Rattus norvegicus: one gene and its partner. The protein of the gene in region 2 purifies or fractionates together with the protein of the main gene of each other region. This does not show direct contact. Links are inferred from orthologs where the notes say so. Each region holds a gene or a part of one and is shown on either strand. Other genes may lie near its edges.

Evidence for each region. Proteins that work in one complex are often made in the same cells at the same time.
Region 1: the proteins of Ngfr (region 2) and Ndn purify together in Homo sapiens (affinity purification with western blotting; 3 studies listed by BioGRID). This does not show direct contact. The link is inferred for Rattus norvegicus from reciprocal best matches to the Homo sapiens genes NGFR and NDN.

The regions. Positions count from the first base shown.
Region 1 is NC_086019.1:125,259,765-125,263,158, reverse strand, and holds Ndn (necdin), read right to left. Parts: upstream 2,101-3,394; 5' UTR 2,034-2,100; coding exon 1,056-2,033; 3' UTR 501-1,055; downstream 1-500. UniProt on the Homo sapiens protein: Growth suppressor that facilitates the entry of the cell into cell cycle arrest.
Region 2 is NC_086028.1:81,027,506-81,031,504, forward strand, and holds the start of Ngfr (tumor necrosis factor receptor superfamily member 16 precursor), read right to left. Parts: upstream 2,801-3,999; 5' UTR 2,688-2,800; coding exon 2,619-2,687; intron 1-2,618. UniProt on the Homo sapiens protein: Low affinity receptor which can bind to NGF, BDNF, NTF3, and NTF4. Forms a heterodimeric receptor with SORCS2 that binds the precursor forms of NGF, BDNF and NTF3 with high affinity, and has much lower affinity for mature NGF and BDNF.

The DNA.
Region 1 (3,394 bases), on a different chromosome or scaffold from region 2:
TCAAGACTCCAGTATAAGGTCTATGATTTTTAGGGTATTTCATTACCAGCATCCTTTCATTTTTCTTGCTTTGTGCTGATACAGTCATTCCTTACTTCTTATGGCTGGTGGGAGGATAAAATAAAGAAGAAAATGCACAACGAGGGTTTAGTAGCAATATTTCATTCTGTTAAAGTGCCCACCAAAGACTATTTAAAACAAAAAAACAAAACAAAACAAAACAGAAAAGGGACAGTCCCTACATAATTCCTGTTATTATTCCCACGTTATGTGAACATGCCTTTTTTTGTTATCACGCCTTTAATGTGACCAATTTCTTGAAGCACCACAATTTTCAAAAAACTTCTGAGTGGTTATGAGTGGTGTTTTCCCACTCTGTTAGAAGTATACTTGCTCATGTTGTACACGGGGAGAATCTTTCTCATCCCTACCCACTCCCATTCCCCCTTTCACCAAAATAAATGCCTCCCCCCCAAACAAAGAAATTATTTCACGGTATATTTAATGCTCATTTTAAAGTTTATTTATGGTGGGGTTGGATACATGTTTTGCAAAGTGTGCTAAGTGCTTAAACTGAAAACAGTCCAGTTCAAATCAGTCCATTCCACATGGATGTTTCCTGTGCCAGTTGGAGTCATATGGAGAGGGACCCTGACCTTTCTCTTGGTCAGGTCTGTGTTGTTGTTAAGTCCTGCTAACTCTCCAGGGCCTTCTTTGTCGATACGGACCATCAGTCCCATTCAAAGAACAAGATACAGAACACCTCAATGTATTTCACAAGTTTAGCACAGCACATCTCTTGTACAAAAATCCAAGAAAGCACAGAAGTGAAAGTACCAACTTGCTCACTTATAAAACACACATGCATCAATTTTAAACACTACACGAGTACACAACTGAATACATTGCATTACAAGATAAAAAAAGCACTGGATGGAAAACTTAAAAACTATACATGAAATACTGCACTATGAATCTGGGATACTCTAATGTCCAACCCCACCCTTACACAGCCCTAGTATGGGTCAGAAACTATCAATGTGCTCCTGGACATTTTAGTCCTCAGAGACACTGCTGCGGGGGGCCTGGGCGACAAGATTAGCCTCCCGCAGAGCTCTGGCCTGCTCCAGAGCCTCTCTGTAGCGGGAAGGCCAAGCCTGGGGATCCTTCTTAAAGACTCTGGCCAGGAACTCCATGATCTGCATCTTGGTGATTTCACGGTTAGCTCTGGGGCCCCAGAAGAACTCGTACTCGGGAGGCTCGATGTGGGGCACACGCTGGTACTTCAGGTAATTCTGCTGGACGAACTCCTCGGTGATAATCTTTCTCACATCTCCGAAGGTGGAGTGCTTCTTCCAGGGCCTCAGCCCCAGGATGCGCAGCACATTCCAGACCGCACCCTCTCTGGCCCCGCGGCCCTTCACATAGATGAGACTCAGGATCATGAGCAGGAGACCTGTCATGGGCATACGGTTGTTCAGCGCGACTCTGTCCAGCTCTTCTGGGCTGAGTGCTTTGACCAGGGCGAACTCCATGGTGTGGAGATTGGTCAGCCTCAGGTGCAGCCCGAAAACTCTGGCGAGGATGACGCTGGTGCGCCTGAGGATGCTTCTGCACCACTTCTTGTAGCTGCCCATGACCTCTTTCACCATGTCTGGAAACCAGAGGACCATCCTCTTCTGGTCCTTGACCAACACGTACCACATGAGCTCGTGCGCCTTCTGCACCAGCTGGGCAGGGGCCGGCGGTGCTGGGATCGGCCGGGCTGGGCTCTGGGGCTGGTGGGCGCGGCCCTCTTCTGCGGCCTGCTGCAGGATCTTAGGGTCAACCTCTTCAAACCGTTCTGCAGGTGGTGGCGAGGCCTGTGGGGCTGCCATAGGGCCTTCCGGAGCGCACGATGGCCCTGAGAGGTTCGCGGCCAGAGGAGCGGGAGGAGGGACCCCCACCGGAACAGCATCGCTGACCTGCATCTCAGTGTCGGGGTCCTCAGCGGCAAAGTTAGGGTCGCTCAGGTCCTTACTTTGTTCCGACATTCTGCGTCTTTTGATCAGAGCAGGACCGCTGCGACTCGGAGCTCTCGGAGCCTGCACTGCCTCAGTGGATACTAGCAGAGGAAGTGCGCTTTACTGAGCACTGCGCCTTCCGCAGCAGCGGGCCGGGCGGGGCAGACGCTATATTGCGCATGCGTAGTGGGAAGCCAGAAGGGTGGTAGGGCTGGATAGGAGCGAAGTAGCAAAGCCCAACCACTGGGGTCTAAGGGAGGGTACCACTAGTATTATGAAAAGGATCTCCTGGTCTCCTGTATGGGACAGAGATGGGTGATAGTGGGGAAAGAAACAAGTTGAAGGAGAAAGATATAGCTGAGATGGTGAAGTTAAGTTCCGACACACTGAGTTAAGTGTGAAGGTCCTGGAGGAAGAAGACTAATTCTTGAATTTGAGTTTTCCACAAAAGAATAGGAGAGACAAAAATAACCTTTTCTTGGAAAGTCATACCTGATGATGATGATGATGATGATGATGATGTGTTGTCTAATATCAGAATGTTGAGAAATTATTAATAGAGATAAATCGTTACAAATCTGAGCAGTATCAAACAAGGAAGAATGCAAAGTATAGTTACAGACACTGGAAATCAATCCATGTGAGAATTTAATGTTTTAGAAGTAGATTCATATAACATAATTGATGTGCGTCTAAAATTTTAATTAAAATGGGACTTGGTTCAGTGGGCAAGAGCTGTTGCAGTTCAAGCATGAACCTGAGTTTAAACCCCAGGTCCCACATGAACAAAACAGATATATAAAATTATTTATATGTATTCATTCATCGTTGGATTCTTAGTTTGTTGGCTTACAATTATTTTAATAACTATGGATTTGGGCTCTGCATTTCTATTAGGTCACTTTGATTTCATTTAGAAATTCCCTTAAGAATCTAGTGGGAAATGATCAACATGTTTATTAATACACATTTTATGATAGTGTATTTTTCATGCACTCCCAGTGCCCTTTCCCCCTGCTTACTGCTGTTACATCTTCATGTTTATAAGAAATCTTCCACGTCTTGCATTACGTCATTAGCAAATGACTAATTCCATGTTGGGCGCACGTCCAAATCTTTCCCAATATCTTTCAAATGCAATTCTTTTGGATAATATCTAACATTCTTTCATAAATGAGAGGCAGCATATTGGTGTTCATAAATAAAAAATGTAGATTGAGAGGAGGTAACCTGAACCTGATATTTCCTCGAACTTTCCTTTATGCAATGACCATGGTTGAAGCTTCCAAAGCCAGAAGTCCTTAAATTTGATCATCTTTCTTATTCTGAAATAATGGAATTCCTTAGCCCTTCTTTGAGTTCCTCAAGTTTAAAACATCTTAAAATTATGC
Region 2 (3,999 bases):
ACGGGGCAGCGTCTAATTTACCCAGCCAGTGGCAGTCCAGGACCACACCCCCTCTCGTGGGGAAGCTGAAAAGGAACTGCGCAGAAGGAAGACTAACGCAACGACCACCTCTGCTTTCTAAGTTGGGGAGCCTAGTACCCTGCCTAAATTTCCTGGGGGTCAGCCTCCTCGCCTGTAAAATGGGAATCACTAAATTTACCTTGCAGGCACCTAAGGAATACATAACATAAAAGTACCCAAGACAGTGCAGGTCATAGTAAGCACCTCACCGATTTTATTGTGACTGCCCTTCCAACTCATACCCCTAGGGAGGAGCGAGGTGCTACAGTCAGAAGGGCTGGCCAGGTAGGGTGGAGCCATCTAACCACCCACCCTCCACAGCAGCCTCGACGCTCACGCTGCCCATTTGCTGCCTACGCTGCTGCACCCCTATTAGGAGCATTAGCCAGCCGGGCGGCTCCGGTTACAGACGTCTGAATGACAAAGTGCCTCCATTACCGGCGCGGCCCGCCAGCAGACTCGCCGGGTTGCGCTCTGGTTTCAGCACTCTCTCGGCGGCGCAGGAAGAGGCTCGGACGGCGGAGGAACGCAGAACCCGCTCTAGCCGAACAGCCTGGAGAAAGCAGAGCCATAGGGGCTCAAGTCCGAAGGTTCTGTCAAGGTTCAGAGGCCACGCCCTCACCCCTCCAGGATCAGAATCACACAGCGCCCCAGGCCCTCTTCCCCAGCCAACCTTAAGGAGGACCAAGGAGCACCTCTAACCAGAGGCATTAGTTAGCAAACACCTTTGCTGTCACTCCCAGGTCCCCGGAGGACTCCGCAAGTACTGATAGCTCCAGGGAACCGTGTGTGAGGTTGAGGATGAGAGCTTGAGAGGGTTCACCATTCGATCGCCTTCATATCCCACCTCCTGCCTATCCTTTGGGATGGTGTCACCATCCCTGCTGTGAAACGAAGCGGACTAGCTGCCGCCCCTGCCCACCTACGCCCCCCCCCCCAGATGCTCTCTTGAATAGAGGGAGTACAGAGCTGGAATGGGGTGGCCACCCAGCCACAGGGCTCTGGCTTGTGAGATCTTAACCAACTTGTTTAAACTCCGAAGTCCCTGCCTCCTTATCAGTAGGATGGAGATTGGGGGGGGGGGGGGGCGGCAGTGCTCGCAGGAAGGAAACGGTGGAGGGAAGAGTAAGGACGCCACTTTCATTGCTAACCTTCCTTAAGATCTGGTCAGAAATACCTAGAGAACTCGGGTTCATAGAAGGAGGACCCGATGACCTTAGCTGGAACAGCAATCCGACAGAATGCCAGGTATCCAAGCGGCCCCTGTCTCATTTGAGAAGGGTTCATTGACTTTTACCGAAAGCCTGGCCAGGTGTGGGCGGGATGATGATCCTGTTAAGTTCCTTACCGGAAGGAGCGCGGAGGGCGCAGGGCGGGTGGCCGCTTAACTTAGAAGGGGTGCAGTGCGCAGCCCTAGGCGCACACGCAGCTCCCATAGCAATCCCTCACCCGCAGTGCCCCCTGCGGGTCGCCTGGGGTTTTTGCATCCCCGAGCTATGCGCTGCCGGAACCATCACCGCCTTGAGAGTCCTAGCGCTCGCATCCCAAGAGCCCGCTGGCATCTGATAGGGTAAGGGGATGTCCTGGCTCTGTCTCTCCAAGTCCACTGCGTTGCTTCAAAGCGTATGAAAGGTTTGCCAAGGAACCATCCTGGAAGCGGATTTGTCACAGTGAAGTGGGCGCTCCCCTCCCAGCCTGGGATGCCCAGACGCAATTCCCGGACTGGGCGAGGCCGCTAGAAAGAGTGCTAGAACCCACGCGGGAAACCTCTGTGACTCGGCTGTCCTCATCGCACCGACCTTGAGTAGACAGGCGGGGCCCTGAGCACTTCAGGGTCTGCACCGGCTTTCCACCTCTCTATCTCTTTAGTGGCTGTCTCTTTTCTGCCCTCCATAAATTCTACTTCTCTCTCTTCAACCTCTCTGCCACTCCCGAATCGTTCCTTTCGACGCCCCTCCCCCCCATTGTCTGGCCGGTCCCCATTGTCCATACCGGGTCCCCTCCGCCTCCAGTCCCTCTAGCCGCCTCCCCCATTGTTCCGTCTCTAGCCCCTCACATCTCTAGCGCTGATCTCTTCCCCTTCCTTCTCTCGCGCCGGATTCTGTCCTACAACTCCCCAGGGACTAAGATGCTAAAGAGAAAACTCCCCGCGGGATCCCAGAATTCACATGCTGTCGTCAGAAGAACCCAGGCGCCTGAGATTTCCAAACCTCCCTCCAACCCCCGCCCCTGAGAAACTGCTCCCAGTCCCCTACACCGCACCCACCGTAGTGCCCAAGGACCACCACCAGCGGTACCAGCAGCACCAAGAACCAGCATCGTTACAACACTCCTGCCTGCATCTCTATCCTGGGACTGGGTCGCCTCTGCGCTCGCTCTGAAAGTCCTAGAAGCTAGGAGCGCCCCTGTGAGTCACCGCCCCGCAGCTCCTCCGCCACCCGTTCCCAACATCTGGGACCTTGACGTCCTATTCTGTTCTCTGGGTGGTGGCACCCAGGTCTCCTTGGGGTTCAGCTCTTTGAAAAGGTCAACAGGAGTCCCTCCTGCTAACCACTTACCCCTAGAATCAGCAGCAGCAGCAGGCGCAGCCGGTCCATGGCGCTGCAGGCAGCACCTGCCCTCCTCATTGCACGCCTCCGGCGTCAGCGCTCCGCTTCTAGCTCAGTCCGCTCCGCAGACCGATGGTGCTGCGCTGAGCTGAACTGCGCTGCGCTCCAGCGCCTGCTGCCCGCCGGAGCTGGCGGAGGCTCCACTCGCTCTGGCTGCGGGCGGGCGGGAGCAGCTGGGTGAAGGCAATGCAGCAGCCCCGCCTCCTCCCCGCCCAGCCCGCCCAACTACCCCCCCCCCCAACCGTCCGGAACCGCGCCCGCCCGGCTGCCTGGGGTGTGGAGTCCGGAGCAGCCAAGTGAGGCGTGCGAGGAGCCGCACCCGTGTGCCCCGCTGCGGCTTCTCTGTGGGCTGTCCCACATACCCAGTGCACCGCTGGTTATGCCGAGCATCAGTCCCGGATGCTGCGGATCCAGCAGGGGGCCACTGCTCTCCTACTGATGAGGCCTGCCTCGGGGTTCACTCTCTTAAACGCCTTCTTCAGCCTCTCGGTTGATTCCTAGTTCCCTACCTAGCCCTTATTCCGAAAATGAGGCTGCCTTCCTTTTACGGTTGGGTATACACTTTATTCCATCTTCTCTCGGCTGCTCCTTCCCACTTGTGGAGGGATATGTTCCTTGGGGCATTCAAAGTGAAATCTATCCCAATATCACTATTTGAGATCCCTGTCTCTGTCTTTCTGTCCCTGACTCTCTGTCTCTCTCTGTCTCTCCCTGTCTCTGTCTCTTGGTCTCTCTCTCTGTCTCTGCCTCTGTCTCTCTGTCTCTGTCTCTTGGTCTCTCTCTCTCTGTCTCTCTCTCTGTCTCTGTCTCTTGGTCTCTCTCTCTGTCTCTGTCTCTCTGTCTCTGTCTCTCTGTCTCTACCTCTGTCTCTGTCTCTCTCTCTCTACACACACACACACACACACACACACACACACACACACACACAGAGGATAGAACCTAGGACCTTACAAATGCCAAGCAAGCATCGTATCATGGGGCTACATCTCCAGCCTTTCCTGAGCTTGAAGGACTCCCAGGTGTGCACATACAACCCAGGAATACACAAACACACTCTCAAGCACGCCTGTGCTCATGTACTGACATCTGCTCGTACCATCCTCAGGCGCTCATATAAACCCACTTATCCTACAAGGGTTCCTAAGACATACATCAACGCACACATGATGACATTCACATACACACCCCTACACATTCACATGTGCACGGTGCACAGTGATGTTCACGCAAGCCCATACCTGTATTTAGCCCTCGAATGTACACACTCATGAGTATACAAGCCACACACAAACATGATCACACGAGCTTCGGAGCTTCCCACAGGCAGAGA